Mus musculus: one gene and its partners. The protein of the gene in region 2 interacts with the protein of the main gene of each other region in a biochemical or structural test. Links are inferred from orthologs where the notes say so. Each region holds a gene or a part of one and is shown on either strand. Other genes may lie near its edges. The genes, in order: Mapk8, Map3k1, Map2k4 and Ikbkb.

Region 1 (7,446 bases), on a different chromosome or scaffold from region 2:
GATGTCCATGATTTCTAACAAGCTATTCATGGCTTACAAAAGCACAGTGTGTACTCAGGGTCTACAGTGTTGGCCCATGCAGCATTACTACAGACCTCAGGTCAGGTTCAGTGTTACTTCCAGGGACATCCTTTTCCCATGCTATGAAGTAGAAGAATAGAAACTATGCTACCTCGAGCAGGTTCAGAATTTTTCAGATCTGGTGAGCATCATGTAATTTTGAGTTCCATTAACTGAAACAGGTCATAAGGACAGGCATGTAAAAGGATGTTAAGCTAAACCATCTGTTGCCTTTTTCTGGGTCTAGCAGCATTTTGCTTATCCAAAATGATGGCACTGTTACTTTCATTTCTAGTTTTAAAGTAACCAGTTACTTCTAATGCAGACAGTAGCCACCAGCAGCCTTTTTTGCTTTCTGACCTCTTATAGAGCAAGGGTTAAGGAATTATGTAAAGTCCATATTCTGAATGTTTTTTGTTTGTGGACATGGCCTCTGACACAACTACTGACAACTACTGCCCTTCTATCATAATATCAACTGTAGATAACATGGGGTAAAAATGACTATGGTTAAGTTTGCATTAAACTTCCTTTGCAAAAGCAATCAGTTGAAGTCCTGTGCAGATGACATAAAATAGTTTACCTCTGCATAATTTGGATCACTTTCCACTTTGATACTGCTGTCAATACTGTTAAATAACCAAACTCATGATCCTGTGTCCTTGCATAGGTTGTCTGATCTGAAATGCTTGGGGCCAGAGTATTTCAAACTGTGAAATATTTTAGATTTTAGATATTTGCATAGACTTATAGTGAGCATCCCTAATCTGAAAATCAGAAATTTGGGGGGGATCCAAATCAAAGAACTGTCATGATGGCCCCTGTATTCTTGGACTGATTTGAGACTACCTTAAAGTTTTCCTTAGCATAAATATCAAAGTAGTTATAACAGCCTTTTGAGTATTGACAGTTATACTAAAAAACCAAAAATACTTAAATTTGGGCCTTTCAGATTTCAGATTAGGGATAATAGTAACTCCCAAGTCTTGGGATTCAGCCAGAAAACACTAGGCTTAGCTACAATAAAAAATATCAAACTCTTATTTTGTTTTTTGGTTTTCAAAGCAGGGTTTCTCCGTGTATCTCTGACAGTACAGGAACTCTGTAGACCAGGCTGGCTTAAACTCAGAGATCCACTGCCTCTCAAATACTGGGATCAAAAGTATGCGCCACCACTGCAAAAGCAGATATCAAACTCTCAGTAGCCAAATATGACTAAGGTTTATTTTTCACATTCTGTATGTAGGCACATCATGGTAGGGGTAGACATTTGGATTTATAGAGATGCCCACTATCTACAATGTTACTAATCACCAAAGCAAGGGAAGATCTGCAGGAGGTCATGTTCTGGCCCTTCTCCACTCTGTTCCCACTCTACCTACTAGGTCTACTTTTGCTATCTTGCCTGACTAGAGAGAGAGGCTTGGACAATGGGGGGAAGGAGAGGGTGGGTTAGAATGTTGAGTTATTTCTACTCTATCTGCTCAACTCCAAGTAAACTCCAAGTCACTCTTCCTATAAGTAGTTATGACATATGTAGAAAGATAAACATTGATACAGAAAAAAATGAACTTTAGTTAATATTCATAGAGACAAATACTCTTGGCAGTTTATTTCCATACACAGTTTCTTTTAAACTAGAAATGTATTTGCCCCTAATCATTTCAGAACAAAAAGTATTTTGAGTTTTTTTCTAGACTAGACCACCTAGTATAAAGAGGCAGTAATCTCCAGCTGTAGCAACAATCCTGGGAGGACTACTGAGTTTATAGTGGTTATTCTTCAGCATGGGTATTCCTTTGTTTTATATTACCAACATTCTATTTGCAGAATAGAAATGATAACATTTTTATCTTCTGTGGGAATAACGTGTAGTCTTAGTATGCTTAATTTCAAAAGGCCTTAGTGTCTGTTTTCTTTATATATTTTTTTTAATTAGGTATTTTCTTCATTTACATTTCCAGTGCTATCCCAAAAGTCCCCCATACCCTCCCACACACACACTCCCCTACCCACCCACTCCCACTTCTTGGCCCTGGCGTTCCCCTGTACTGAGGCAGATAAAGTTTGCATGACCAATGGGCCTCTCTTTCCACCGATGGCTGACCAGGCCATCTTCTGATACATATGCAGCTAGAGACACGAGCTCCGAGGGGTACTAGTTAGTTCATATTGTTGTTCCACCTATAGGGTTGCAGATCCCTTTAGCTCCTTGGATACTTTCTCTAGCTCCTCCATTAGGGGCCCTGTGATCCATCCAATAGCTGACTGTGAGAATCCACTTCTGTGTTTGCTAGGCCCCGGCATAGTCTCACAAGAGACAGCTATATCTGGGTCCTTACAGCAAAATCTTGCTAGTGTATGCAATGGTGTCAGCGTTTGGAAGCTGATTATGGGATGGATCCCCAGATATGGCAGTCTCTAGATGGCCCATCCTTTCGTCTCAGCTCCAAACTTTGTCTCTGTAACTCCTTCCATGGATGTTTTGTTCCCAATTCTAAGAAGAGGCAAAGTGTCCACACTTTGGTCTTCGTTCTTCTTGAGTTTCATGTGTTTCGCAAATTGTATCTTATATCTTGGGTATTCTTAGGACTACCGGTTAGTGTCTGTTTTCTAAGCCTATCCATGTTACCTTGTCAGAGTAAGTTAGAAACAGCACATAAGCATTCTTGCATGTAGATATTTAAAAAGGGATCTTTGTGTTAAGGGCCTTAGCTTTTGCTGTTAATCTGCTAGTCATCTGTACATGTGAGAGAGTTTGTGCTGTGGATATGAGTGTTCATCAAAGCTAAAAGGCAAGAGCATGATGAATGTGAAGGCCTGGGTATTTATGCCACTGTCTTCGTTTTAATAGGTATTGCACACATTTTCTTCTACCTCGAGCCAGGCAGCAGTTTTTCACAAAGACAGTATTACTATCAGAAGAAAGTAATTTTATGGACTAGTGTCTGTTACATGTGAACGGAAGTTTATAAGCAAATGTTTGTGATATATGTGGGAAGTCAGGAATGGGCAGACTGATAATCACTTTTTGGTTCTTTAGAACTGAGTATCTAGTGTATTGAGACTGATTCCAAACTTTCCTCCCCACAAAAGTGAACATGTATGGCTATCATTGTTCAAGTAACATATACCTGGATCGTGTCAGGATTGTGTAAATATTATCAGAATGCTCCATGGTGGATTTAGAGCGTTTTAAAGTTTATTGTGACTTTAGAATGAGTTTTTTTATTTTTTAATGTTAGTGAGTACACTGTAGCTGTCCTCAGACACACTAAAAGAGGGCATCTGATCCCATTACAGATGGTTATGAGCAACCATGTGGTTGCTGGGAACTGAACTCAGGACCTGTGGAAGAGCAGTCTGCTTGCTCTTAACCACTGAGCCACCTCTCCAGTCCTAAAATGAGATTTTTTAGTGCTATTAATTTAGTATGTAAATGAATGTACATGCTAATTTATGATTCTTACCATAATAGCACTTTTTTGTTTTTGATTGGTATTTTGAGATGGGGTCTTGCTGTGTGTCATCATTTTTGATTGCTGTGGCAAAAAAACTGACCAAAAACAACCTCAGGAAGAAAGGGCTTATTTCATCTTACAGTTTCATGTAACAGTTCATCTCTGAGGAAAGTCAGGCTAGAACCTGGATTAGAACTTGAAGCCGATGCCATGGAGGAGTGCTGTTTACTGGCTTGTTCCTGGGTTATCTTGGCCTGTTTTCTTAGACAGCCAGGACCACCTACCCAGGAATGGCACCATCTATGGGTTAGATCATCCCACATCAATTATTAGTTAAGAAAACAACCCACAGAGTTGTCTACAGGCCATTCTGGTAGAGGAAGTTTCTCAGCTGTTGTTTCCTCTTCTTACATGACTCTAGCTTGTGTCAACTTAACAAAGAACTAAACATACACTGTGTGTATTGAACTTCCAGCCTTTCTGCTTTGTCCTCGACCAGGCTCTCCTCATCTTCATAGAGATAAATAAAAGAAGTAAAACAAAATAGAAAATAAAATTTTAATACATTTTTGTTTTTAAGTAAATAAGCATTAATAATGTACTGGCTTTGTTTATGCAAATGAAATGATCTTAAATCTGACTTGGTGGGTTTGCCTATGGTAAGGAACCTCTGCAGTGGTCCTGCAGACTATGTAACTCAGTTGAGCAAAACAAATCTGTGTGTCTGTCTTAGCAATCATTTTAATGTTTATTTCTTCAAGGACTTAAAGCCTAGTAATATAGTAGTCAAATCAGACTGCACTTTGAAGATTCTTGATTTTGGACTGGCGAGGACTGCAGGAACGAGTTTTATGATGACGCCTTATGTGGTGACTCGCTACTACAGAGCACCAGAGGTCATTCTCGGCATGGGCTACAAGGAGAACGGTCAGCATACACTTTCGCTTTGAAATAGTCTTCTGGTTTTGTTTATCAATCAGTTTTTAAATACTGTAATTGAAATGCATGCATTTAAGTATTCATTACTACTTCAAATGTCTATCCAGGATTTGAACGTTTTGCCGTGAATGTTTGGGAAAGCATGAGAATCTTATCTCAAATGGGAATACCTAGATGAAGAGTTCTAAAACTAGGATTTATGCCCTCTGCTTGTCTGTAATTTAAACATAAATATATATTTCTCAATGATTTAATCTTAGTAATAATTCTAGTATATATTAGTCTTATTTGCTCTCATCTCCAGCACCTTTAGTCAGTGTTAACAGTAGCGCTCACAAGCCGGGTGTGGTGGCACACACTTTTAGTCCCAGCACTCTGGAGGCAGAGGCATATGATTTCTGTGGTCTACAAAGCAGGTTCTAGGACAGCCAGGACTGTTACACAGAGAAACCCTGTCTCAGAAAACAAAACAGAATAATATAAAACAAACAAACAAGCAAAAAATAGTAGCACTCACTATAAACTCTGAGAGCTACATTTTCCAATTCTGGAAAGTTAGTGGGTAACTCAGCCTCGTATGGAAGCACTCGTGTTTGATTAAAGCCTGTGCCCCGTCATAAAGAGATTGCATATAGTATTATCTGTGGATAGGTTGAATCAAACCATAACTTTTTAAGTGTGGCGTGTTTCTAGGATGGAAATTGGAACAGTGGTTCACTTTAAATCAGGAAACTATTAAGTCAATCTTGAACATACATATATACATACTTAAGCACATGTATATGATACCAGTGAAATTGGGGAGATTGCTTAATTTCCTTACCTTTTTTGAGCTAATTTAAAACAAATACTTTACATATCAACTATCGGTTTTTAAACTAAACATGCTTTTCTGTTTCTAAGTCTCAACATAAGGTTTAAAAGTTTTGTTTTGAGAATTGATAGGCAGATTGCTATTGCTTTTGCTGTGAAACTTTTGATTATCACAGAAATTGCACCACATGTTAAGTTCTATAAATATGATCTTGACATTAGAGAAGCTGTCATAAAAATTGACATGTTGTCTGTCCTCTCTTAGATGAGAGTCACTTAGATCTCTCATTGCTTTTCCTGCCTGTTTCCCCAGGAACCAAGTCAAATCTCGTGTTTCCTCACTCATAACTATTAGCCAGCAGGAGGTGGCATATACATATCTTCCTCTCAGACACACACACACAGGGGAGGGGGGTAGAAAGAGAGTTTTCCTGTTTGGTTTTATTGCAGAGTATTTCAGGACAGTTTGGGAAATTTGGGGGGTAATTAATCTATTTTAAACGGCCTGATAGCAAATTAGACCCCTTATAGCAGGTTTTATAATATGGAGGTCTGCCAAGAGACTGTAGATCACAGATCTGTAGGCTCTTTGACACTTTGATATTGTATTCCACCGAAACTAACTTTTAAACCCAAAGTTTAAAAAAAAAAAAAAAAGTAAAAAAGAGATAATGAAAAACACTTGTTTATCAAGGTTTCTTGGTAGATAATGCTGTTCTTTTTCTGTCCATTTGTAGACATGGGTCGAGGTGGATATAAATGTAAAGTGGTGTTGCCAAGAGAATACGTTACTTTTAGTTCAGAATAAACAAAGCCTTTTCAGTTAAATAAGCCTGGGAAACCCAGGTGATAATTTTCTGAAAAAAACATTAGGTTACTATTTTATTAAAATGCAGATATCTTTCTGTTTTTAATATGCTAAATTATTTCTGCTCATGCTTGTTAATTTAACTTAAAGAGAGAGTAAAATGCACAGTTAAACCTCAAAATAGTACATCTTAATTTTATAATTTTATGGCCTTATATACATTTTAAATCTTATTTTTAAATTTTGTTTGGTTCTACTTCATATATTACATGCAAAATCTCAGTTATAGAATGTATGTTTTTTAAATTTATGCAGTATCTGTGCATAGCTCTCACTTTAAAATTAGACATGTAATTAAAATGCCATACTTCATATTTTCTTTTGTGAATCAAAGCTTTTTGAAAAGTATTTTGTGTTTTAAATTATGCCATTATTTGAAATTAAAACCACCTTTTTCTTTTTGTGATGTTCTGCAATTTTTTAGATGATGCAGTCATATTACGCTTCTTTGATTTTAACAATCTTTTGCTTTGCTTTTTCTTCTTTTGTGCTGCAAACATATAGTGGACTTATGGTCTGTGGGGTGCATTATGGGAGAAATGGTTTGCCACAAAATCCTCTTTCCAGGAAGGGACTGTATCCTTGTGCTGCTGCAGCAGATTAATTAGCTAGGTGATGAACTTCCTTCTGTTTGCTCATGAAAAGAAATACATGCTACATTTGTACAGTACAGGTTTTAAAATAGATGTAAAGTTTGTGACTGTTATAGTTCAAAAACTGGTTGAGCTAAGAAGCTTAAGTGTTAGTAGGCTGCATTTGGCAGCAGGACATACAGTCTCTGCTGGTCGTCAGCACATTCACCGTCATTCATTTTTATTTTATATTGCTTTTTATAATTTTAAGTGTATATGGTGTGTGTCTTTTTAGTGTTTATATATTTTTCTTTTTATTTTAACCAAAATCTTTATGTTAATGTCATTGCATTTTGTTTTCAGTTGACATTTGGTCAGTTGGGTGCATCATGGGAGAAATGATCAAAGGTGGTGTTTTGTTCCCAGGTACAGATCGTATCCTTATCTTTGGCCTAAAATGTAGTTTCTAAAGGTCAAAATGGTACTGTGTCAGCCTGGTCAAGTAGAATGTATTTTGTCTCTTCCTGATACAAAGTATTGTTAAATTACTTTTCCAGAGTACCACCTCTTACCTGACTTTCTTCTCCTCGTTTATTGATTTATATGTTAATTTTGAAAAGGTCTCAAGTGTGGTTAATTCATAGGTCCTTGCTTGCTTAGAGTTAATTAACATAAAAAGTTACGGCTTTCACTAAAGTTTCTAACACTTGAGTAAGTCTTTAACTATTGTGAA
Region 2 (7,936 bases):
CCAACAAACAAATCACCAATGTTGCTCATTCAAATGATTTGAAGATTCAAGGCAGGTTAGAAAGAATAAAATTTTGCTAAGAGGAATGATTAAATTTAATAAATTTCCAGCCTAACACAGTGGCCCATGCCTTTAGTTCCAGTGCTGCAGAGGCAGAGGCAGAGGCAGAGGCAGAGGCAAAGGCAGAGGCAGAGGCAGAGGCAGAGGCAGGTAGATCTCTGAGTTTGAGGCAAGTCTGATCTGAATAGTGAATTTCAGGATAGCCTGAACTACCTACCCAATGAGACCCTAGACCTTGGGGGGAAAATTAATAAATTTCCACTTTACCCTTAAATTTAAAACCTCCTTTCCATGACCTGGAAAGCTCTGATAAAAGTTACTTTCTGGTAAAAAGCTCCTGAAACTGCAAGCGTGTACAGGAAATCACTGCTATGTTTAAGTCCAATTGAGGATGGAAATCGTAGCTGTGGAGAAAAGAGGAGAACCGGAATCAAAAATGCAGGGTTGGGGTTGGGATTTGGTGATAGGGCCTTGTTTCTTTGCATGTAGGACTTCCACTTATACTTCCATGTGTCCTTCTCACTGACCCTGCCTGAAAGTGGCATTGTCACCCAAGCTAGCAAACATAGATACTTTCAAAGTAAATTTGTCTAATTGTCTAAAGAGGGACACCCTCTTCCTCACCTTATTTAATGATCATAGCCATGCCTGATCTGACAGAGAACACTTTCCATGTCTTGTCCTCTTTCATCCTTTGAAGCCTTAGTTCAGTTCTCGTTGGAAAAACTTCCAATTTTCACTCATACTCATACTGTATTAATCTAATAACCAGAGATCCACTTGCCTATGCCTCTGGAGCGCTGGGACTAAAGGCATGCGCCACCATGTTAGGCGGGAAATTTATTAAATTTAATACCCATGGGTCTGAAAATATGTCAGCCAGCCCAATAAAATACCCACTGGTAAAAGTATTTGCAGGTGAAAGCATTCTATTCCGTTAAAGTAGTCAATGTGGTTAAGATAATTATTAAGAATATTCATTATATACTGATATTAATAATTAATAACCGTTATTAATTAATAACAAATATTAAAATTATTTAAACAATTTGAGAGGAATAAAACATCTTGTGTGTGCAAAGGAATTGCTCAGTAGCTGCGAACGGAATGCCTTATAAGCTGAAATACCCTGCCAGCACATACGGCTTTTTCATTTTAACATCGTGATATTTTTGCCCAATGAGGAAATGCCCTGTGTTTATCCTCCAAATGAACTTGGTGTAGCAGCTCAAGTGTGACTTAGGCCATTCCCGGCAGCCCTCTGTGGGAGCCGTGACCTGGAAAGCTCTGGTAAAAGTACTTTCTGGTAAAAAGCTCCTGAAACTGCAAGTGTGTACTGGAAATCACGGCTATGTTTAAGTCTGAGCGAAGATGAAAATCATAGCTGTGGAGAAAAGAGGGGAAACGGAATCAAATTAAGGCAATGGAGAGCCTATAGCAGTCTGCCATCTGACACGTGCTTCCGCAGAAATACATCACAGTATTCAAACAGCTCCAAAGATCAAGGTGGCGTGGGGTTGGGTTGGGTGTGTGGTGAGGAGGGCCACACTTAATCATACTTATGGCTCACAAAGTTGGGGAGGGACCTACCCAGGTAACTGCATTCAAAGGAGACGTTATATTAACATAGAGAGCAGACTTCCTTAGCCAATCTGGTCCTTTTATTACTTATCTCTGAAAGAAAAACGTGTGTCCAGGTATAGGTGCATAATGACAGCAGACTATGTCCATAAAAGATGAAAGGGAATGGGATTCAAATCAGGAGAAACTACTGGGGAGAGATAGCACTTAGTCTTCATAGTCTTCATAGACTGATGTGGCCTATGGAGGCCAGAGAACTGCAGTTAGTCAATTTGTGCTTCATTTGATGCCCACCCTCATCTTCAAACAGTTCAAACACTGTACAAATAAAGAGACAAAAGTCACCTTTTGCCGGAGTTCCTTTTTTCTTTTTTCTTTTTTCTTTTTCTTTTTCTTTTTCTTTTTTACTTTGCTATTCAGGCCAAACTTCCAAACCTGGTCCAAAGATGGAAACAAAGGCTGAGGGTCCGCAGTGGCTTTTCTCACAGGTACCTAAGTACGAGTGCGCCAATTTAAAGTTTATTTTAGATCTCAGTAGAAACCAGAAAAGCTAATCCTTTTCAATTTAGGATTTGGTGGGTGTGGCAATCTAGGAAGACCTGGGAAATAACTACTGTTTGGTTTGGATGTTATGCTTGTCTACCATTAAAAGAGCATATAATTATAGCCTAAATGTAGACCTAAATCTTGAACAGACTAATCTAAACTTTCAAAACGTGTACCTTTTAATGTAACCATTGAGAACTGTAGCGTGCCAGATGTTATAGCAGTAAGTATAACACCGAGCTCAAGCTGAAGTCAGGATCCCTTTTTAAAAATCCCTTTTGCCTCACCTTGCTCTCTGGCTGACATTACACACCTAAGGAGGGCTTCATTTGATCTACTTTGGAGAGGTTAAATGAATTATTTTGAGCTAGTTCAGGCTTTTGTCTAAATGCTGGAGAGATCTTTCCTTTCTCTGTAAGATGAAAACCCTTCTTACCCCTCCCCCCACGCCTCATGTCTTAATGTTTCACAAAATAAATCTAGAAATCCTGGGTTCTGAGAGATTGTCTATTCTAGACAAAGTGGCTAGGGGAAAAAAAAGTGGCAGAGGCGGGTGAGATAGGGACGACAAGGCAGCTTTATCCCGTTGAAAAAGGGTCGAAGGGGGGAAATCCCATATACGTATACTGCTTTTCTATCTCCAGCACATTTTCTAGACTCTGGGGCAGGAGAAAGGCGAGGGACGCCGCACAGGGCAACCAGGGAGCGGCGGCGGGAGGGAGGTGGGGGACCCGGGAACCGGCCTGTCACCTGACTGCCAGGAAGAGGGACGTGCAGCTGGGAGCATCTGTTGGGGGTGGGGAGAGACCTGGTAGAAGATGGCATGATCCAGCGCTTCCTGGCATAGCGCTGGCTCCTTCCCCAGACGTGCTCTCCCGCTTTCGGTTGGAGCCTGCCTTTCCAAGACGGGGGAGTAACCTCTGGCAGAGTACCCGGGTTGGTCCCTCTGCGTAGCCGGGGGAGTGGGGGGGAGGGTGTCCCAAACCAGCAGCTTCAGAGGTGCACAAGGTAGCGCAAGAAATCTTAAGTAGTGTTATTTGTGACACGAGGGCGGGACAAGAGGTCTGCTTTCCTAAGAGAAGGCTTCGCGTCCGCCCGTCTGCGGCAGGCGACAGTCCCGGGGCGCCACCTGCGCTTCGGGCGCGGGCCGGGCCGGTGCGCGCGGGGGCCCCCCCAGCAACCGCTACTAAACGCGTGAAGTGACAGACCGTGAGTCCTCCGGCTTGCGTCCCCTTCCAGAACCAGGGACTCACGCTCGGATTACTGCTTGCTCAAGGGTGGGCGAGCTCCCGCCGAGCCGCTGCCCCGCCCGGTCTCGCACTACCTGGCGGCGGCCTGGTTGCAGCGCACAACGCCCGGCGCCCGGTTCCCCGCATTGCCCCTGCCCTCCCACCTGCGCCGCGCGCCCGCCCGCCGCTCCGCGCTCCCGGGCCCCGGCCGGGAGGCGCGGCCCCGCTCGCGCCCGCGCCCGCGCCCTCGGCAGCAGCGCGCGCCCGCCCACCCGCCCGCCGCTCCGCCCGCCCCCCGCGCTCTCCCCGCCCCCTCCCTCCCCCGCAGGCACGAGCGAATGTAGCCCGCGAGAGAAAATGGCGGCGGCGGCGGGCGATCGCGCCTCGTCGTCGGGATTCCCGGGCGCCGCGGCGGCGAGTCCCGAGGCGGGCGGCGGCGGCGGAGGAGGAGGAGCTCTCCAGGGAAGCGGCGCGCCCGCAGCGGGCGCGGCGGGGCTGCTGCGGGAGCCTGGCAGCGCGGGCCGCGAGCGCGCGGACTGGCGGCGGCGGCAGCTGCGCAAAGTGCGGAGTGTGGAGCTGGACCAGCTGCCGGAGCAGCCGCTCTTCCTCGCCGCCGCCTCGCCGCCCTGCCCATCTACTTCCCCGTCGCCGGAGCCCGCGGACGCGGCTGCAGGAGCGAGTCGCTTCCAGCCCGCGGCGGGACCGCCACCCCCGGGAGCGGCGAGTCGCTGCGGCTCCCACTCTGCCGAGCTGGCGGCCGCGCGGGACAGCGGCGCCCGGAGCCCCGCGGGGGCCGAGCCGCCCTCTGCAGCGGCCCCCTCCGGGTGAGCGGCGGGCCGGGGCCGGGCGGGCAATGAATGAAGCGAGCGGGGCGCGCTGCTCCCGGGGCTCCGCTCGTTGGGGGTGGGGGGGGAGCCCGCGTCCCCGAGCCCTGAAGGTCGGGCGGCGCCCGGGACGGCGTGGGGACGGGACGGGAACGTGCGGGAGAGTTTGTTATTGTTTGCGGACATGTGACAGGCGTGGAAGCCGCGAAGGTGCGGGGCTCCCCGGGCCGGGTCCTGAGAGCCCCCGCGGCGCGAAGTGAGTTTGGGGGGCTCGGAGCGCGAAGGTGACGGCGGTGGGTCTGCGCGCTGTGACAGCCTAGAGCCCCTCGGCCCCACGGGGACGCGCGCCCGCGGGCAGGTACCGGGCCGGGCTCCGGCGGCGCGCCCCGGGCGGCCGGGGGATTCCGGGGACTGCGGGGGGGGGGGGCGCCTGTCAAAGCGACGCAGGCGGACGCTGCGGGCTCGCGGGGCGGCCGGGTCTGCGGGGACTCCGTGGCTGCCCTCGCTGCGTGTCCTTGGGAATTCCTCCCGCACCTCGGGGGCTAGAGCGCCCGGTGCTGGGAGTTTGAATCCGGCTTTGAAGTTAGCTTTTGGCGGAATGCTGTGGGATCCAGGACCGGATGTGTCAGCCATTCAGCTTCAAAGCTGTGGGGACTGCGCCCCGCAGCCCCGCTGCGTGGCGGGGACAGGGACGGTGCGGGGCTGCCGCTTTGCTCGCAGGGGTCTTCCGGTGCACCAGAAGTAGGATGTGCGTAAGATAGTTTACACCAACGGCTCTTTGGCCTCGCCCTGTTTTGGCTACTGGAAAGTTTTCTGTTAGAGGAAATTCTTTTAAGTATATGATACTTAAAAAAAAAATCTGATGAAAATACACAAAAGCATAAAATCTTGATGGATGTGTGAAGTTGCTGGATATGTTTTCGTCATCGTCACCCTGTGGCCCCCCGTAGAATTTCTTGACGTTTACTGTGGGTGGAGAGTGTTTTATTGTGTGTCGAATCTGACAGTAGGAATCCTTGGTTTCGGTTAGTTATCTAAGTAATTTGACCCCCTTTTGTGCTCTGGATTGTTTAAAATCACGGTCCGTTTATTACTTGGAGGTCGTTTTCCCTCCTCCCAACCCCCAAGCCCAGTAGTAAAAAGTGTGTTGACCCCTGGCTGTGGCAGGATTGGGAGGAAGGTAGGCAGTAAGCAGCCCCGATGCAGCTTTTCTGTGTGTGTGCCCTGTGTGCACTTGTACACGTATCTTCCTCTAGGGTTTCCTGTTTCTGTGCAGATTAGATTAAAACTAACCAGAATAATTCTTAGGTGGCAACTCTTACTACAGATCAACTACAGATGAAAGAAAAAACAGTAACTCAAACTTTGAGGAATTAATTTTATCTAGTCCTGTGAGACCTGATTTTTTTTTCTATATGATAATACAGTTGGCCACACTTAAGCATTTATAAAGTCAATATAACCACCTATGAATATACCATGAGCAGCAACTGCAAAAATGACATATAGAACTTTAGTGTTGCCTCTAGAAATCAGAGGACCAAGGTGAGGGCAGGTAGAATTGAATACCTGAGTAATCTGCTTGATTTTTGCGCATTCTTCTCTCTCTCTCTTTATCTCTTTAAGCAGTGGCTTATAATTGTAAAAGCTGTCTTTAAAATAAATACTGCTAGCTAGAATTCTGTTGGTGCACCTCAAATGTTATATGTGATAGTTTCATTTGCTGTAAAATATCGATTGTCAATCCTTTTGAAATAATACTAACACCCCCCCCCCCCACACACACACACACCCCGCCTCCAGTTTTTGTAACTGGTTTGAAATTCATTTCAAATCTGCGGGTCTAAAACTTATATCATGAAGAAGGGGTTATCCAGAAATGTTGTTGTGTTTTGGGTTTCCTGTTGTGATGTTTTATTATTTTCTCATTTAAAATCTCGGGGAAATGATTATACGGCATGTAGAATCTCAGTTGAACAATGTGGTTCCCTTTTCAAGTAGCGCACGTTCATGCTTTGAAGAGGAAGATCTAATGCTGATATTTTCGGTTTGTTTTCAGTAGTAGTAGAGAGCCAAAGACCCCTCTGCATGTCTAAAGACCTAACGTATTTTTCTTTTGTTTTTTTTTTTTGTTTGTTTGTTTTTTGTTTTTTTTAATCCAGTTTCTAAACGTTGGATGTAGAAATTGAATGTTTAGAAAATACACATTTATAAAAAGATAAGCTATGGGAAATTCATTAAAGTCAAAGATTGCATGTATGTCTGCCCTCTCTCCTTCAGTAAAATAACTCAAGCCAGTGAAAGTTTGTCCTGTAAGTGGCGCCCAAGGGTTTGGGATTTTTTTTTTTCCCTTATGCCACAGAATAGGGGGCTTTTCCTTCCTAGTGACTGTCTTTGAAGAAAAATTACAGTGCTGCTCTGCATTGAACAGGCTGTTGTGAGGTTGGCAGATATAATTACTCTGTCCTATTTTTGTAGTTTCAACCAAACTATCAATCACTTTGCTGCCCCGTGAAAGAGCAAGCTATGCTGGGCCTGTTAGTGTTAGCCTCGTTTAAAACTAGCGATATTTCATAAGCCACCTCTGCTGCTCGGGCCTCAGTTTCACTTCCTTTTAGAAGCTGTTAAGCTAAAAATACCACTCACTGATCATTTGCTAGAGGGAAGGCATAAAAACATTAATAATAAACCTAAAAATAAGTCCTTTCAAACTGTGAGTTGGTGATTCTCTAACATCATAGATGTAGCCCCGGAAGTTAGCCCTGAGTGAATTCCTGAGCTCTGGGACTTAGGGTTTCTCTCCAGGTTTTGTTTTAAACTGGGTAAGGAAACTACTGTATTTTTAAAAGATTAACCTTATTAAATAGGATTCTGGAAGAGAAATATCAGAGCTAGAGTGGTTGCCAGCTTTTGTTTTCTCTTCATATCTGATCTTGGCAAGAGTGACTGGTTAACCAACATTCCTTAATATGTGATTTCCAATACACTATAATGACTCCATTTTGTGAGATAGGCAAACAGGAAGGAGCCCCATTGATTGATGCTTCTGTTCCTCTCCAAGTGTTGCATGTTGTGGAAATGGTCACTGACGTGTGGGCCTGAAGCTTGCAAAATGTGCAGAGGAAGGGGGAGAGAGAGAGAGAGAGAGAGAGAGAGAGAGAGAGAGGCTACAGTTTGCCTAGGAGGAGTCTGCTACCCTGTCCTTGACCCTGCTGGCCAATTCCAAAGGAAGAAGTCGTCAGGGAGAATGGATTATTCTGAGGAAATCTGAGGGATGTTCCAAAATGCAGTTAGTATTGCCTCTGCATTCTGCACTCGGGGCGCTTCCCTGAGCTGAGGGGAAAGCTGTGTTAAAGGAAGTGGGAAAGCGTGAATGGGAAGGTCTTGGTCCATGGCGGGCACTGCTGACCCCGTGCCTGCACTTTTCAACGTAGGATGATTTGTTTGTATCACGGGTGTCACATGCATCCTTTAGACTGGCCGTCTTCCTTGGCCCTGGCCTTTCTGTATCTTTAGTGAAAAGTTACAGTTGCTGAAAAATGTCAAGGGAACTGGTAAAGCCAGGAGGAGGTAGACAGACAGACCCTAGCATGAGCAAGGCCTTGGGTTTGATTGCTAACATATATGCAATATTCAAAACATAACAATGTCTTTCAGGCATATCTTGAGAGTATTTTTAGTCATGAAAAAGAGTCA
Region 3 (8,107 bases), on a different chromosome or scaffold from region 2:
CTTTATAATAAATTCAATGTATCATATTTTAAGAATCTTTTAAATTCACTACATATTAAATGACCAGCCGCTAAAACAGGTAAATATCATTTCTAATAATCTTTACATTTCATAGTATTTTATGATATAAGACATTTCACATGCACTAATGTGATTTTTAAAACAGTCTCTATATAAGCTATGTATCTTCTCTTTTAATAGATGAGAAATTATGGGAAATTATAAAAAATCTGGTCTTTTCCCAAGGGTGCAGAGTGTGCAAAAGGCACACTCTAAACCTTGGTTTTTCCTAGTGTAAATGCAGCATCCTTTCAACTTTGAACTCTTGTTCCTAAGGCATTGCTCTATGCAGAGGTAAAGCCACTAGCACAGAAGAAATCAGCATGCAGTGTTTTCATTGCTGAAGTTGCTCAACTCTCAGCTGGAACGCTTTCTTCCCCAGAATATTTGCTATTCTCTAACATGCCCATGGTGACTTTATGGAACATTAGGTCTTCGACTTATACCCAGCTCACCTGAGATTGAGCACCTGATATGCTTTCACTAACTTGGCTAAATTCGTGGGCTTTTTCAAGATACCACTAGAAAGTCTCTACCATACCATGCAAGAAACCTCAGTTAAATTTATCTGTGATGACAAATTATCAATGAAGTGGTTTTTCAAACTCTTAATTATTGGGGAAATAATGTTTTCAATTTCTAACTAAATATTAAGAATTAAGGACAATTTAATAATAGCTCATTTGAATATTTTTTCTTACTCAAAAGAAGGCATATCCTAATGTCTAATATATTTTTATAATACTATTTACCCAACTTGCAAGCAGATCTACATTTTGATAGTTTTACTCACCAAATAATCAAAGGAAGAATGGGGGTGGGGATGGGAGAGCATATTCAGCTTGTAAATGTTTATACGTCTCTATATGGACATGAGGAAGTTCAAAAACAAAGTGAGTCAGAATGAATGAAAGCTCAAACATATGAGTAATAGCAAAATCAGCTACTATTCTCTATTAGCTGAGACTCTGTGGGAAGAATGCTTTAACAATAGCCAAATAAGAAGTACAACTGCTCTGTGAAAATGTAACGAAATGAACAAATGATGACTGTTAAGAAGCCAAAGCTGCTATAATTCCCATTCCAGCTACCCACATCCCACAGCCTATTTACAACTACAAGAGTACCTCAAACACAACAAACAGCATTATCATCATTTGAGAATCCCTGATCCAGAAAACAAGGTTTTAAGAGTTTGAAGTTGAACAAACTCTTCTCTGGAATTCTAAAAATTGGGTCCCTTAGTAGTGAAAAATAGTGACATCAACAGGTTAGAAGTGTCCAACCCACACACAATAAAGTCTAGAAAGGAAATGTGTAAGTTGGTCACAAGAGGCTAGGGACACAGGGGTAAAGAAACAGGGTCCAGTGGAAATAACAGATGAGAATGTTGATGGCCAACATGCATGGCATCTTCACGGTATGCCAGGTCCCATGCTTTGTGTACATTATCCTTGTACCTGTGGGATACGCACTATTCTTACTTTCCAAGTAAGAAACAGATGTTTAGAGAGGCTAAACACTATACTCACAAAAACCTTGAGTCCTGGTTGAGTTGGGATGAGGATGACCAAGGTTCTGGCCATTGAGCATTACAATATAATGGAAATAATGTTTCCAACTTTGTATCACAGTTGGGTCACAGATGTCAAGCTGTGCAAAGTACCTATCCTCCTGGATATCAGTCAATGACTGCTGAACTCTAACCCTGTCCTACTCCTGAATCTGCTGGTCAGTAAGACCTGACCATGAACAACTCCAAGAAAGGCAGTCTTTTGGATAGCAAGATTATGAAATGGGAGGCAGCCTGGAAAACACAGGAAGAAGTCATCTCAAAAAGAATAAATAAAAATAAATCCGAAGAAAAACACTGGTAGGGCTGGAGAGATGGCTCAGCGGTTAAGAACACTGACTGCTCTTCCAGAGGTCCTGAGTTCAATTCCTAGCAACCACATGGTGGTTCACAACCATCTGTAATGAGGTCCGATGCCCTCTTCTGGTATGTCTGAAAAGCAGCAGTGTACTCACATACACAAAATGAATAAATCTTTAAAAAAAAATGATGATGATGTGAAGAAGAAAAAAAAGACACCAGTAAAAAAAAGGGGGGGGGGAGGGGTAGTTTAGCTCAAACCTAGAAAAAAATAATTTGCTACTTAAACTCAAGTTTGCTAATTCAGATTATGCTACACAGCACCTTAAACATTTCAAGCATTTCTTTATTCTGAGCAATCAAAACAAGTTCAAAACACAGGATATAACTATCATGTTCCTGCCTCAAGGAAAGATATATCAGTATATATCAGTAAAGATAAAAACAAAAACAAAACAGGGTCTCAAGAAGTGGCTCAGGGCTTAAGAACACTAGTTGCTTTTGCAAGGGAGCCAGGTTTGATTTCCAGCACCCACTTGGTAGCTCAGAGCCATCTGCAAAGCCAGCCCCAGGGGTTTGATGACATCTTCTGACCTTTCCAGCACCAACCATGTGGTGTTCATACATACATACATACATGCAAAACACCCCCCTCTTCCCCTCTCCGCACCCCCACCACCTCTCTCTGGTAGGTCTTTTAAAAATTCAGCAATAATTCTAAGACAGTTTAGGGCCCCTTTAAGTAGAGTTCCAGATATCAAAAAGCAGAGATGGACAGTAAACATCAGAATTCCTGACCATGTGACTCAGAGTTCCTAGATGGTCTGCCCTCTTCACTGTTCTCATTGCCTAGGCCCCATCTCTGTTCTTTCCAGATAGGCTTTCTCTGTCATCTTATCAAGGAGATGGCCCTGTAATCTTCTATCACAAAACCCAGCCCGTTGCCTTCATTTTTCTTAAGCCATTTCTTGTTTACCTCCATGTCTTCCCTCCTGCATCCTCAAAGGGACATGCTCCATCAGAGGTGAGACAGCTAGGTTCACTAGTCTCTACACACTCAAAAGGGAGCTCTACGCTGGCTCTAAGCAGCTCCATCAGAGGTGAGACACTGGGTTCACTAGTCTCTACACACTCAAAAGGGAGCTCTACGCTGGCTCTAAGCAGCTGCTCAAGATTTTCTGAACAAGAAAAAAAAATGTATACAGATTTTTCAAACGGTCAGCCACGTCTCTCAAAACACACACACACATACACACACACCTGAAATATATTCATTGTTTTACTGAGTTATTTATTGTGTATTCAAGGGTAGAGGTCAGAGGACAACTTGAGAAAATCAGTTCTCTCCTGCCATGTATATCCCAGGGATTGAGCTCAAATCAGGCTCTGTCTCTACCCTTAAAATATTTAAACTTTAAGTCACCCACTGTGGACAGGGCAAAAGAGATGAGAACCCCAAATTATCTTAACAAACAGTAAAGGTGTGAGATGAAGAAAATCCATCTTGTATTTTGTATGGAGCATAGCAGGCATCCAATAACTAACTAAATTTGAATTAATTAGCTTAGGACCTGTACAGAATATATCTTCTGAATGAAATGCTCAATCTGTTTATATACTATCCCATAAATGTTTCTTATGGGAAGGGATGTAAATACAGATCGTATTTCTGCTGCCCAAATCATGGTATGCTGGCATAAACACGAAATTTTCAACATATAATCTGTTGAACTTCATTAGACACAAGGAGCGCTTTATGAAGAGTTGGTATCATACTGATACCAAAGATATCCAAACGACTCTAATAATTCAACATAAGTCGTTTGCTAAAGTTGTCAAGAGATTTCTGGGCTTGCCTGTGTCAATCCCCCCAATAAACCTAAGAAATGGACTCGGGCCTGTTATTTTCACAACACCCCCTGTCAAATCCCACACAGAGCTCCTAAGGCCTCCCGGTGAGGAAAGGCCATTACAGGGGAGCTGCCTCAGATGCCCAGACATGATCACTTTGACCTCTGCCATTCGGTTTCCTGAATCTCTCTCCCTTTCAGCCCAACTCGGTCTTCTATTTTTATCTGATTTTTCTTTTCTGCATGCGAGGATAAGACACATCTCGGGCCTGGGTCGAAACGCCTCTCCGGGGCCAATGGCTGTCTCCCCACCTTACAGGTGGCCCAGGGCCTCGCAACCCCCCGCCCCTCCCACGCAGACACCCTGCAAAGTTTTGGGGACGGGGGGACAGCGCAGTGGCCCTATTCCAGCGGCGCACCGTGAAGCGCAAGATGGCCCTGAGCCGGCCCCACTGCAGCGCGCGGGGGCGGCGGGGCCGAGGGCCGGGACGCGGCCGACCTGCGAGCCAGAGGCCCGGCCGCGCGCGTTCCCGGAGCCAGCGGGCGCCAGGTGAGCCGCGGGCGGGGGCGGCCAGGTGGGCCGGAGCGGGCAGAGCCAGAGCCGCCACAGCGTTCACCGAAACCCGGCCCGGGGCGGGGATCCCGGGGCGAGGCCGGGCCCGAGACGCGGAGCTCGGGCGGCTTCCTCAGACAGCCCCGGGGACGCAGCGGCTCCACAGGCCGCGGCTCGGCCGAGCGCCTCGCGAGGGGGCCCCGGGGTCTCTGCGCGCCCACCGTCCTTACCCTGCATGCTGCTGACCGCCGGGTGGCCAGAAGCTGGAGGTCCGATGGGCCCCGGGGTGCCGCCACCGCCCCCGGAGCCGCCGCCGCCGCTCGGGCTCGGAGCCGCCATTGTTGGAAGTGAAGAGCCGAGCGGCGCCGCGGCGGCTGCAATGCAGCAAGCTCGGCCTCTCGCTCCGCTGAGGGCGCGGCGTGCGCCGCCTTGGCCACGCCCCGGGCACGCCTCCGTCACGCCCCCGGGCACACCCCCACTAGCACTGACGCGCAGCCTGCAATACAGGTTGAGCTGCAGCGCCCAGCACTGAGGGCAGGGCCTGAAGTCCTGGATCAGGGTGACTCTCAACCTACCACTCAGGGACCCATAGTGGCTTGCAGAATCAGAAATATATGTGCATTGAGAAAAGGGAAAGACTTACAGCCCCAAAGCTTTAGAACTCCCTTCTCTGAACCTCAGAACCCAAAATCAGAACACGTAGAGTTCTACGAGATCTCAGAAGTCACGCTTCCTGTCCAGTCTCTGATCCATCACTGCAGAAGAGATGACAATAACTGTGGTCTCAACCCAGAGCTCTCTGTTCTGCTGGGGACTAACAGGAGTATTTCACTGACAAAAAAAAAAAAAAAAAAGTATCAGAACCCGAAAGAAAAAGTTCCGGTGTAGGCTTTTCAGTCCAGAATCCATGCCAAATATTTTGTTAATTTATTCTGTGTGGGAAGAAGACAGCAAACAGCAAAAGGTGAGGCTGTGATGGCCTTCAAACGCATCTCTTTTTCAAGCGCAGATCAGAAGGTGGCTTTCTTTGAAGGAAGTTATATTTTAGTTCCAGAAGAAGAATCAAAGAGCATAAAGCTGTCCGTGACGACACATGCCTTTAATCCCAGTGCTTAGGAGGCAGATCTCTCTAAGTTTTCAGTCAACCTGGTTTATGGATGGGTTCCAGAATCTTCTCTAAAAATGGTTTTAAGGATGAAAAACATCAAATAAAATACTTCTTCCAAAACAAATCGCCATTTTAGGAAACATGGGTGGACGCAAAAGAAAAAAAAAACAATATAATATAGTTGCGTTTTTATTTTTATTTTTTATTTTTAGCTTGGGCACTTTAACACCCAGGGGAAAGGCATCAAAGGTTCCATAATTTGCTAGCAATAAAACAAGAATCAGATCCTGTCACTACCAGACTCTGACCCCAGTGTGTCATGGCATTTGACTTGTCAGGAAAGTTTCCCAGCCGGCTCTAGTATCACTATGGTGTGTGAGTGTGGTGTGTGAGTGTCATTTCCACAGTTCCTTGGGGGCTGAAGCAATGCAAAGAAATAGCTTAGAGGAATTTGAATTTCCCTCTTTCCGTAAGCTTCATGAGCGTCCCAATCTCAGTCTTTGGTGTAAATAATAAATATCTCACAGTCTTAGGGAAAGTGCTTTTGTAAATCTCTCACCCCACTTCCAACAAGTTTATAGTTATTTAATAATGTATATTATATTATAATTATATGCATTATTTATATAGTATATAGTATATATTATAAAATATATATTATAAAATATGTATTATACTAGTTATATATATTACAAAATATATAATATGATATATACTTGTATAATATGTTATTATATTACATTATATTTTTTATATATTGTGCATATATATATGTATATATATATATGCACCAATCTCTTAAAGACATCACTGGAGTTTGAATGAATGCTAGAAGATGCATATATTATTGTTTCCAATATTCCCTTAGAAGGTGTATAGGTCATATAAAAGGACTTTAATCAGACTAGGGAAACATTGACCCACCATAGTTAAATGAACATGAAAGAGACAGCAAGTAACAAAGAAACCTGGGGAAAACACTCAACCCAGCAAGTTCATGAAGGTAAGGGTGTGTTCCTGGGGTGTGAACCAGCCAAGCAATTTGTCTAATGTTGGGCTTGTGATAAAGCTGGCCTGGATTTGCATCGCTGTTGGTATTGTAAACTAATAGATAAGGACTGAGAACAAGAACCTCTCATTAAGTCTACAGGTGGGCAGAAACAAGACAGGACTTGGGCTTGTTAAAGCTGATGAAGCTGTGTGCATGCCTTTTGCTTGTTCTTGTGTCCCTATTTTTCTTGTAAGTTTCTGTGTTGTGTTTATTATAGACTGAGTTGGATTCCTCAGAACTTGTTTGTTGAAGTCCTGAGCCCTGGCATTGTGACAAGGGCTGTGTTTGAAGATGGTAGGGTCTTTAAGGAGGTTGGTAAGATAGAAGAGGTCATTGGGGGACCGCTAGCCCACTCACTTGGTGTTCCTAGCGTGAGATGGTGCGTGGACACATAGGGAACGATCCACATGAGGAAACTGGAACATGGGGATCGACGAGCCAAGAAGAGAAACCACTTTGGCCACATCTTGATCTCAGAGCTATGAGCAAACAAATTCCTGTTGCTTGAGCTATCTGCCTGTGGTGCTTTGTTATGGCAGCTACAGCACACTAACATTGTATGTGGCTTTTAAAAATGAATATCTCGAAGGGAGCTTGGAATTTGGGGTAATAATAGTAGTAGCTAGCATAATTTGGGGGGAGAAAGGGAGGACAATTAGACAATGTGTATTAAACCCCAGAAACATCCTGTTTATAAATCAGTGTACCGGATCTCTGCATGGGCCTGGCAGTCTAGACTCTGCTGTGCAACCAGAGGACTGGAGAAGCACTAACACCACTGTCTAGAGTAATGTGGAGTGAGAGCAAGCTGCCTTGGAAGACGCTGCAGAGAAAGAGTCATGTTTGCCTAGCCGGTGATTAGGGAACCTCAGTGGCAAAATCTAGCTTGCTGCTTCTCTATGATTCATGTCTCAGTGGTTAGATTAAGAGTAGAGTTTTCAGGGGCCAGAGATATAACTTAGCAGTGGAAAGCATTAGTTTTTCTTACAAAAATCCTGAGTTTGATTCCCAGCACCAGCGTGGTGCCTCAGAACCATCTGTAGTAGAATCTGACACCCTCTTCTGACCTCTGCTTGCCCCAACCATGCACGTGCTACAAACACATAGGTGCAGGCAAAACACTCATACACAGGAAATAAAATAAATTTTAAACTTTGTAATTTAAAAAAAGAGTACATTTTCACTTTATATCCCAAATGAAATAAAAGTAATTTACAAATGGATTTCACCTTCGGACCCCAATTTCCAAATCTGGAAAAGTAAGAAGAGTAATAGCCCCACCACCACTGCCACCACTGCCACCACTGCCACCACTGCCACCACTGCCACCACTGCCACCACTGCCACCACTGCCACCACTGCCACCACTGCCACCACCGCCACCACCGCCACCACTGCCACCACCGCCACCACCGCCACCACCGCCACCACCGCCACCACTGCCACCACCGCCACCACCGCCACCACCGCCACCACTGCCACCACTGCCACCACTGCCACCACTGCCACCACTGCCACCACTGCCACCACTGCCACCACTGCCACCACTGCCACCACTGCCACCACTGCCATGTGGCTAACAGAGCCAACAGATATTCCCTGTATGTGTTCC
Region 4 (7,446 bases), on a different chromosome or scaffold from region 2:
GCGGTTGTACAAAGACATGCTTCTGCAGGAGTGCACCGATCTGACCTTTTCCCTGTGCCAGTCTCAACAGCAATGTCTTCCTTTAAAAAGAACAAGACAAGTATTTACTCCAAGAAAAACTATATGGTAGAAGATGACAGTGACTTCTGGCCCTGCTGCCTCCAGCTCCCAGAAGCTGGAATTACAGGCATGTTCTATCACACCCAGTTTTATTCAGTGCTGGGGATGGAACCCAGAACTTTCTTGCATGCTAAGGCAAACACTGGACCATCCGAGCCACATCCCCATGAAAATATTTCTAGTGAGAAATGAAGCCTGGCCTTTGAAGTCAGTTCTAGAAGAAAGGTTTGGGTGGTAGCAGCAGAGACCACCTCCACAGTTAAACCCACACTCAGTCAGTACAGAGGCAGAGAGTGTTCTCTGGAAAGCCCACTGTCCTACTGCTTACCCACAAGGCTTTGCTCTTTCAAGCCCGTGGTTTCTGAGATATGGGAGAATTAGGTACATAGTTCATAGTCACACATTATAATGTAACCAGAAAATAAAATAGCTCTAAATTGTTCGTAATGTACTGATTTCAGCTAACCAAGAGATTGGTTGTTTTGTCTTCAGTTCGAACATCAACTTTTCCAAATTGGTGGGCTCCGTCTCCATAACGGAGGAAAACATCACAAATGTTGAACTTTTCTCTGCTCATAACAAAATAAGTTAGTCTGTATAGAACTGAAAACACCTTTAATGGCCTGGCATCTCCACATTTTTGTCTGTTGTCTGTGAGATCTTTCCCCTAAAACCACCCTTACTTGGCTTCAAGATGCCAAGTTCACTGGAGCCTCGTAGGAATCGTTCTGTGGACTAGTTATGAGAAGACCTTCTCCTGGGTTTCCAATGTTTGGTGACATTTTCATCGCTCAAATGACAAGACATGCAGTCAAGCAGTGCATGTGTTGCTCTATGCAGCCATTGGGTCTCCTGCTAGGAGACTGTGCTCTATAGAAGCAGCTGTGTAAGTTAGAAGCCACAGAGACCCTGACCTCCGCCATCAGTTCCCCCCCTAAGCTGAATGCCAGCACCTTTGCCATGCAGACGGCACCTTCCATACTTCCTGCCTGCCCTGGATAGAGCACCCACTGTCTGCCAACTGTAATTGTTTAAGGCTAACGCATTTTGTTTTTAATATGAATGACCCCTTTTAGGGGAAGGATATATTTGCACTTTTAGATACTAGAAATTATATCAAATTTTGAGCCCTTTGTTCTGTCACTCTGTAGTGTCTCTAACATTGGACAACACGCACTCAGACTAAAAATAATTTCACCACATGGGGTCATCCCCGAAACCAAAGGAACTTTGGCAGAGTACTTGGTCATTCATGACGCATTATTCAAATTTAAGTTGGCCTCGTTTCCAAGAAGGTTGGAAACCACTTGGACTTAATTTTTTTCCCCTTCCAAAAGTACTTTAAATACTTTAGGAATGCCCCTACGTTAGAAAATGTAAAGGCTCATTTATTCTAAAAAAACAAAAACAAACAAACAAAAAAAAAGTTAGCCATATACTTTTAAAGGGAAGTGTGGGCCTGCTTGGTAGCTAAGTGGGTAAAGGCACTTGTCCCCTGAGCTCTGTCTCTGGAGCCCTAGTGGTGGAATGAAAACCAGTTCCCTTAAGCTGTCCTCTGAGATGCATGCCATGTGGCAAGTGTGTGCATGCATGTGCATGAACACATATGTGCACACATACACACACAAATAAATAAATGTCATTTTTAAATAAAAGTAAAGTACATGTGTGCTTATTTTACATTTCAAATAAATGTGATGTATACACAATGACCGTGGTTCAGAACCCCCAAATTGTCCTCTATCCAAACATGAGAGCTGTCCTGGGGACATGGCTTGGCGGTTAGGAACACTTGCTGTTCATCCAGAGGACCTCGGTTTGGTTCCTAGCACCTGCATCAGGCAGGCAGCCCACAGGAGACATATATCCTTCTACACACACCTAAGTGCAATTGAAAATGACTGTTTTCAAATGGAAGTTGGTCCCTGACAACTGAGGTGCAGAGGAAATTAGAGACATGGCCAAGAGCACTTGGTCGCCCATGCAGCACTACTCAGACTTAGGTTGTCTCTATTCAGTCCTCCACACAGAGGTCAACGGTGCCTCCTGGAGACTTAGGACGAGAGGCCTCCTGCTGGACTCAGTGCACTGAGCTAAGCCCCTAAACACAGTGCCGACCACTCACAAACACTCCTGCTGAACTCAATGCTTAGAGCTAAGCCCCTAACCACAGTGCCGACCACTCACAAACACTCAGAGAAGCATCCTAGCAGCATGCTGCCCACCGTTTTCCAAAAGAATAGTCGTGAAGTGACATTACACGTGTAAACCGGGTACTTGCCACTGAGTGACATAAAGGACATCTTAAAATGACACCTACAGGCACTCCAAAGTCCGGCAGAAGAGCGAAGTGGACATCGTTGTTAGTGAAGACTTGAATGGAGCAGTGAAGTTTTCAAGTTCGCTACCCTTCCCCAATAATCTTAACAGGTAAGGCCGTGGGGCATCAGTCTTATAGATCTTCTTCGCCTCTGTTTAGAGCTACAGGTTTGAGATAACAGCTGACTCTTTTTTACTTTAATTTTATACGTTTGAGTGACTGGTGCCTGTGGAAGCCAGAGGAATAGTCAGATCTCTGGAACTGGAGTTAGAGATGACTGTGAACTGCCGTGTGGGTGTTGGGAACCAACCCTAGCTCTTAAGCACTGAGCCATCTCCAGGCCCATGCATAACTTTTGAATAGATATCAGAACACCATCCTGTGATTGAGAATTTGGACCAGTCTATCTCAACATTAGACATAGGATGGGTTTCCATATCTCATCTTCCTAGGAGTCTTTTTAAAAATTGTTTATTTGTTTGTTTGATTGGTTGGTTGGTTGCTAGCTTGCTTGCTTGCTTGCTTGGGTAGGTAGTTGGTCAGGTGGATGAGTGGGCGGGTGGGTGGTTAGGTGGGTGGTTGATTGGGTAGTTGGTTGATTGGTTGGTTTTTTTCTATGGTGGAGATGAAGTCCCTGGCTTTGGTTTTGATTGGTGGCTTTTTTGTTTTGTTTTTTTGTTTTGTTTTCTTTGGTTTGGATTTGATTTTTTGAGACAAAGTTTCTCTGTGTAGCCCTGAATGGCCTGGAATTCACTCTGTAGACCAGGATACCCTGGAACTTGGGGAGGCACTGGGGAGGCAGAGGCAGGTGGATCTCTGTGAGTTCGAGGCCAGCCTAGTCTACAGAGTGAATTCCAGGACAGCCAGCAGCTGGGATCCCTTTGTGCCCAAGAAATGTTTATAATACCCCAGATATGTAGATACATAAAGTATATAAGTCAAGCATCTACTGATAATAAATCATATATTTTAAAAGAATCATTTGGTTTAATCATACTGTTTAAAGGCAAATATTAAATTTTATTAAAGACAAATATTAAGTTAAAATATTCATATATTAAACTTACATACTAATGAGATTAATGAAATGTATGTGATTCGTTTACACAAAGAAATCTTGGCCTAATTTTTTCATATTTTCTTCATATGTGTGTTTACACATATGTACACACAGAGACATGGTGCTGATCAGGAAACCACGGAACCAGGCAAGCACCCCACCCAGCTCTCACAAGCCTTATCAAAGTGTCAGGGTCACTTTCAGTGTGTGCAGGTGTATGTGTGCTATGGAAGACAACCTTGGCTCTCTTCCGTCGCTCCACACCTTCTCCTTTTCAAGGCAGAGTCTCTCTCTCAGGTCTGGAATTCAGCAAGTAGGCTGAGCTGGCTGACCCCTCAAGGATCCACTCATCTGATAGAAGCATTTCTTATGTGGACTCTGGGATGGAACTTAGGTTCTCATGTGTGCACAGCAAGCACCTCACTCGAGCTGAGCTATCAGCCAAGGAAGGCTGTGTGTGCTTCGGGATTTGCACACTGCGGCAGGCCGGCTCAGGCCTCTCTTCCCTTTGCTCCCTTAGTGTCTTGGCTGAACGGCTGGAGAAGTGGCTGCAGCTGATGCTTATGTGGCACCCTCGGCAAAGGGGCACGGATCCCCAGTATGGCCCCAACGGCTGCTTCAGAGCCCTGGATGACATCTTGAACTTGAAGGTTAGAGCAGAGCCCAAGCAGCCCCGAGGCAGCAGCTGTGGTCCCCAGTGGAGCACAGCAGTCTTTCCAAGGAAGGGAGACATATCAGATCGTGGGCCACTTGGCCTTGTGAAGAAATTCAGGTTCCTCTGACTCTTTGGGCTAAAAAGAGGACAGGAAAATTGAGATGACTGACATGTTTTGACATCTTGCCGTTGAGGAAAAATGGGACTTAAACTAGCCCTTTACCAGCAAGTATGGGTTGGGGGTAGCAAAGGGTCTTGGCAAATCCATGAGCCTTTTGTAAAGAATTTTGATTTTTGGGATAGTGAGATAGCTCATCAGGTAAAAATACTTGTGGCCAAGCCTGACAATCTACCTAATGGAAAAGAGAACCAACTCTTTCCAACTGTCGTCTGATCTCCACACACGTGGTGTGGTGTGCGCACGTGCTCCCCCCTCCTAATATGCAAGTGTCTTAGTCAGGGTTTACTGCTGTGAACAGACACCATGACCAAGGCAACTCTTACAAGAACATTTAATTGGGGCTGGCTTACAGGTTCAGAGCTTCAGTTCATTATCATCAAGGCAGGAACATGGTAGTGTCCAGACAGGCATGGTGCAGGAGAAGCTGAGAGTTCTACATCTTCATCCAAAGGCAAACAGGAGAAGATTGGCTTCCTGGCTGCTAGGATGAGGGTGTTAAAGCCCACACCCACAGAGACACACCTACTCCATCAAGGCCACACCTCCAAATAGTGTCACTCTCTGGGCCAAGCATATTCAAACCACTACAGCATACAAACACACAATGTAAATAAATGTTAAGAAAATTTCTTCCCAGTAACATCTGGGTTGTGTTGCAGCTGGTTCATGTCTTGAACATGGTCACAGGCACCGTTCACACATACCCCGTGACGGAGGATGAGAGTCTGCAGAGCTTAAAAACCAGAATCCAGGAAGACACGGGGATCCTGGAGACAGACCAGGAGCTGCTGCAAGAGGCAGGGCTGGTGCTGCTCCCTGACAAGCCTGCTACTCAGTGCATCTCAGACAGCAAGGTGAGTCCTGACTTCTTCCTGCGCCCTGCTTGCCCTGTTTCCCTCAGATGTGGTCTCCTAGAACACTGTCAGCATTCCACATTACTACTCTCACTATGACAATTGTATACAGTGACACCGTGTACAAACTGCTTGATGGGTCAGGAGTCCCAGGTGGGTCGCTAAAAGACACCAATCATTCCATACTCAGTTTGTCACTTCCAGACCACGAATATTTTCTTGTGCTTCCATTGCCAAAATCATGTTTTGCTCTTCTAGTCAGGCACCTGTGCTAAGGCCATCGATGTGTGACATGGTGTCTGCCCCAAGGTGTGGAGTAGTTATGGAGGCTACAGCCTCTGCACAGGGAAGTGTGATGTGTTCAGGTCACAGGAGAAGCAAGCAGAGTAAACTAGAACATGATGTAAGGCAGGGGCAGGTTCAGATAAAAAGGGTAGGAGAGAAAGCAGGCTGAGTCACGCGTGCTTCTTAGGCTACGATGCTGCCCTCCACGTGCAAGTGGAACTGCTTTAAGACCAAGTAGCCGGAAAGGAAGGGTGGGATCCCCAGGTCTCATTGTTTTCTTGTCCCTCTGCAGACAAACGAGGGCCTCACGTTGGACATGGATCTTGTTTTTCTCTTTGACAACAGTAAAATCAACTATGAGACTCAGATCACCCCCCGACCCCAACCGGAAAGTGTCAGCTGTATCCGTAAGTGCATCATTTATTAAAACCCATCAGTTGCGATATTTAGGGTAAAGTTGGAGGAGCTCCTGGTTGTTTGGTTCTGAGTATATAAAGCCTCCTTTACTTGGAATGTGCAGAGAATAGTCCAGGCAAAGTACTGGTTAACTGCCTCTCACTAGAGGTAGGCACAGGGTTAAGAAATACCACCTACTTCTGTGGTTCATTTTTGAGGTTGCATTTATATTTCAATAACTAATGTGCATTGGAGGGTAAAAGCAAGAGGGGTCAGGAGCTCAGCCACATAGGATGTTCGAGACCAGCCTGGGCTACATGAGGCTCTGCTTATAAACAAGAATGACATTAACATAGGTACATGATACAAAAACAACACAAAGCCTCAAAAGATACCCAAAAAAGAATACATAAGGCAAAGTGAACACTCGGGCTCTAGTCCCCAGCCAGGAGGCTTGCCTTCTGTAGAACTACTGCTTCCAAGTGCTTGGGTATCCCCCTCAAAGAGACCACGATGACACAGACATGCACTGTTCTGTGTGTCCCTCCTCACCCAAGTCGCTCATTTCCTCTCCCTCATGTTGGAGGGCTGCATGGTGCTCCACTGCATGTTTGTTTGGTGAACATCTTACTAACCTAGCCCCGTTCTCAGCCCCCTTTCTCTCAGATACATACTTGGAGTAAACAGACCAAAGAGCTAATGTCTCCGAGATCTCCCAGGCTTCTTGATGATTTAAATATCTCTAGTATTTCTGGTTTCAGGCTTCATGTTAAAGTACTTGCTTAATTAACTTATTTGTCACCGTTGAGGGCCGTATGTGACACACTAGAGGTGTGCACATATAGAGGTCAGAGGACAACTTTGGAATAAGTTCTCTCCTCCCACTTTCATCCACATAGTCCCAAGGACGGAACTCTGGTCTCACCCACTGAGCCATCCCATATACTTTCATATTTCAGGAAAACTCCATACAACTGGTACTGGGCTTCTGGCTACATCATGGGTTCTCCTTTCTTCGACCCTTTTCCTGCCCTCTTCTACCCTTCCAAAGCCCTGACACTGAGTAGGAAAGAAAAAAGGAGAGAAGGACAGAGGGCAATGCCATTGTTAGACTACTTCCTGGTGGTTAGCAGTGTCGATTTCCTTGGGACAAGTTTGATCTTCCCTGACAGGATGTTTAATTTCTTCTTTTTGTCTTTTTGCACATGACAACTTGACAAACCTCAACCAACCACCAACCACCAACCAGCCAATCAGCCAACAGCTTCCCTCCTCCCCCAATTGGGGCTTTAGCATTTATATATATCCTCTGAAAAGTCCCCCTAATTCCAAATCTCACACACTCAAAACAAAACAAAACTATGTGCAGCTGGCAGAAGTCACACCCCTGCTAGATCATGAGGCAAATCATAGTCAGCTGCTGTGGACAGTCGGAAGCAGCCTGGCATCCCACACCTGGGATTAAAACAAAAACATTCTTATGTTTCTGTATTTAAAAAAAAAACAACAAAAACAAAAACAAAAAAAACCCCGAATTCTCACTATATACAACTTTAACTGTGCTGACAGTGAGAG

What was found.
Region 1: of the proteins of Map3k1 (region 2) and Mapk8, one has a biochemical effect on the other in vitro, tested with the Homo sapiens proteins (3 studies listed by BioGRID, with this or other methods). The link is inferred for Mus musculus from reciprocal best matches to the Homo sapiens genes MAP3K1 and MAPK8.
Region 3: of the proteins of Map3k1 (region 2) and Map2k4, one has a biochemical effect on the other in vitro, tested with the Homo sapiens proteins (7 studies listed by BioGRID and IntAct, with this or other methods). The link is inferred for Mus musculus from reciprocal best matches to the Homo sapiens genes MAP3K1 and MAP2K4.
Region 4: of the proteins of Map3k1 (region 2) and Ikbkb, one has a biochemical effect on the other in vitro, tested with the Homo sapiens proteins (3 studies listed by BioGRID and IntAct). The link is inferred for Mus musculus from reciprocal best matches to the Homo sapiens genes MAP3K1 and IKBKB.

The regions. Positions count from the first base shown.
Region 1 is NC_000080.6:33,389,944-33,397,389, reverse strand, and holds part of Mapk8 (mitogen-activated protein kinase 8), read left to right. Parts: intron 1-4,282; coding exon 4,283-4,448; intron 4,449-6,645; coding exon 6,646-6,717; intron 6,718-7,076; coding exon of another isoform or gene 7,077-7,148; intron 7,149-7,446. UniProt on the Homo sapiens protein: Serine/threonine-protein kinase involved in various processes such as cell proliferation, differentiation, migration, transformation and programmed cell death.
Region 2 is NC_000079.6:111,804,807-111,812,742, reverse strand, and holds the start of Map3k1 (mitogen-activated protein kinase kinase kinase 1), read left to right. Parts: upstream 1-3,749; 5' UTR 3,750-3,773; coding exon 3,774-4,240; intron 4,241-4,677; exon of another isoform or gene 4,678-7,936. UniProt on the Homo sapiens protein: Component of a protein kinase signal transduction cascade. Activates the ERK and JNK kinase pathways by phosphorylation of MAP2K1 and MAP2K4. May phosphorylate the MAPK8/JNK1 kinase.
Region 3 is NC_000077.6:65,783,570-65,791,676, forward strand, and holds the start of Map2k4 (dual specificity mitogen-activated protein kinase kinase 4), read right to left. Parts: upstream 4,791-8,107; 5' UTR 4,676-4,790; coding exon 4,567-4,675; intron 1-4,566. UniProt on the Homo sapiens protein: Dual specificity protein kinase which acts as an essential component of the MAP kinase signal transduction pathway. Essential component of the stress-activated protein kinase/c-Jun N-terminal kinase (SAP/JNK) signaling pathway.
Region 4 is NC_000074.6:22,670,067-22,677,512, reverse strand, and holds part of Ikbkb (inhibitor of nuclear factor kappa-B kinase subunit beta), read left to right. Parts: intron 1-2,442; coding exon 2,443-2,550; intron 2,551-4,020; coding exon 4,021-4,150; intron 4,151-4,995; coding exon 4,996-5,190; intron 5,191-5,767; coding exon 5,768-5,882; intron 5,883-7,446.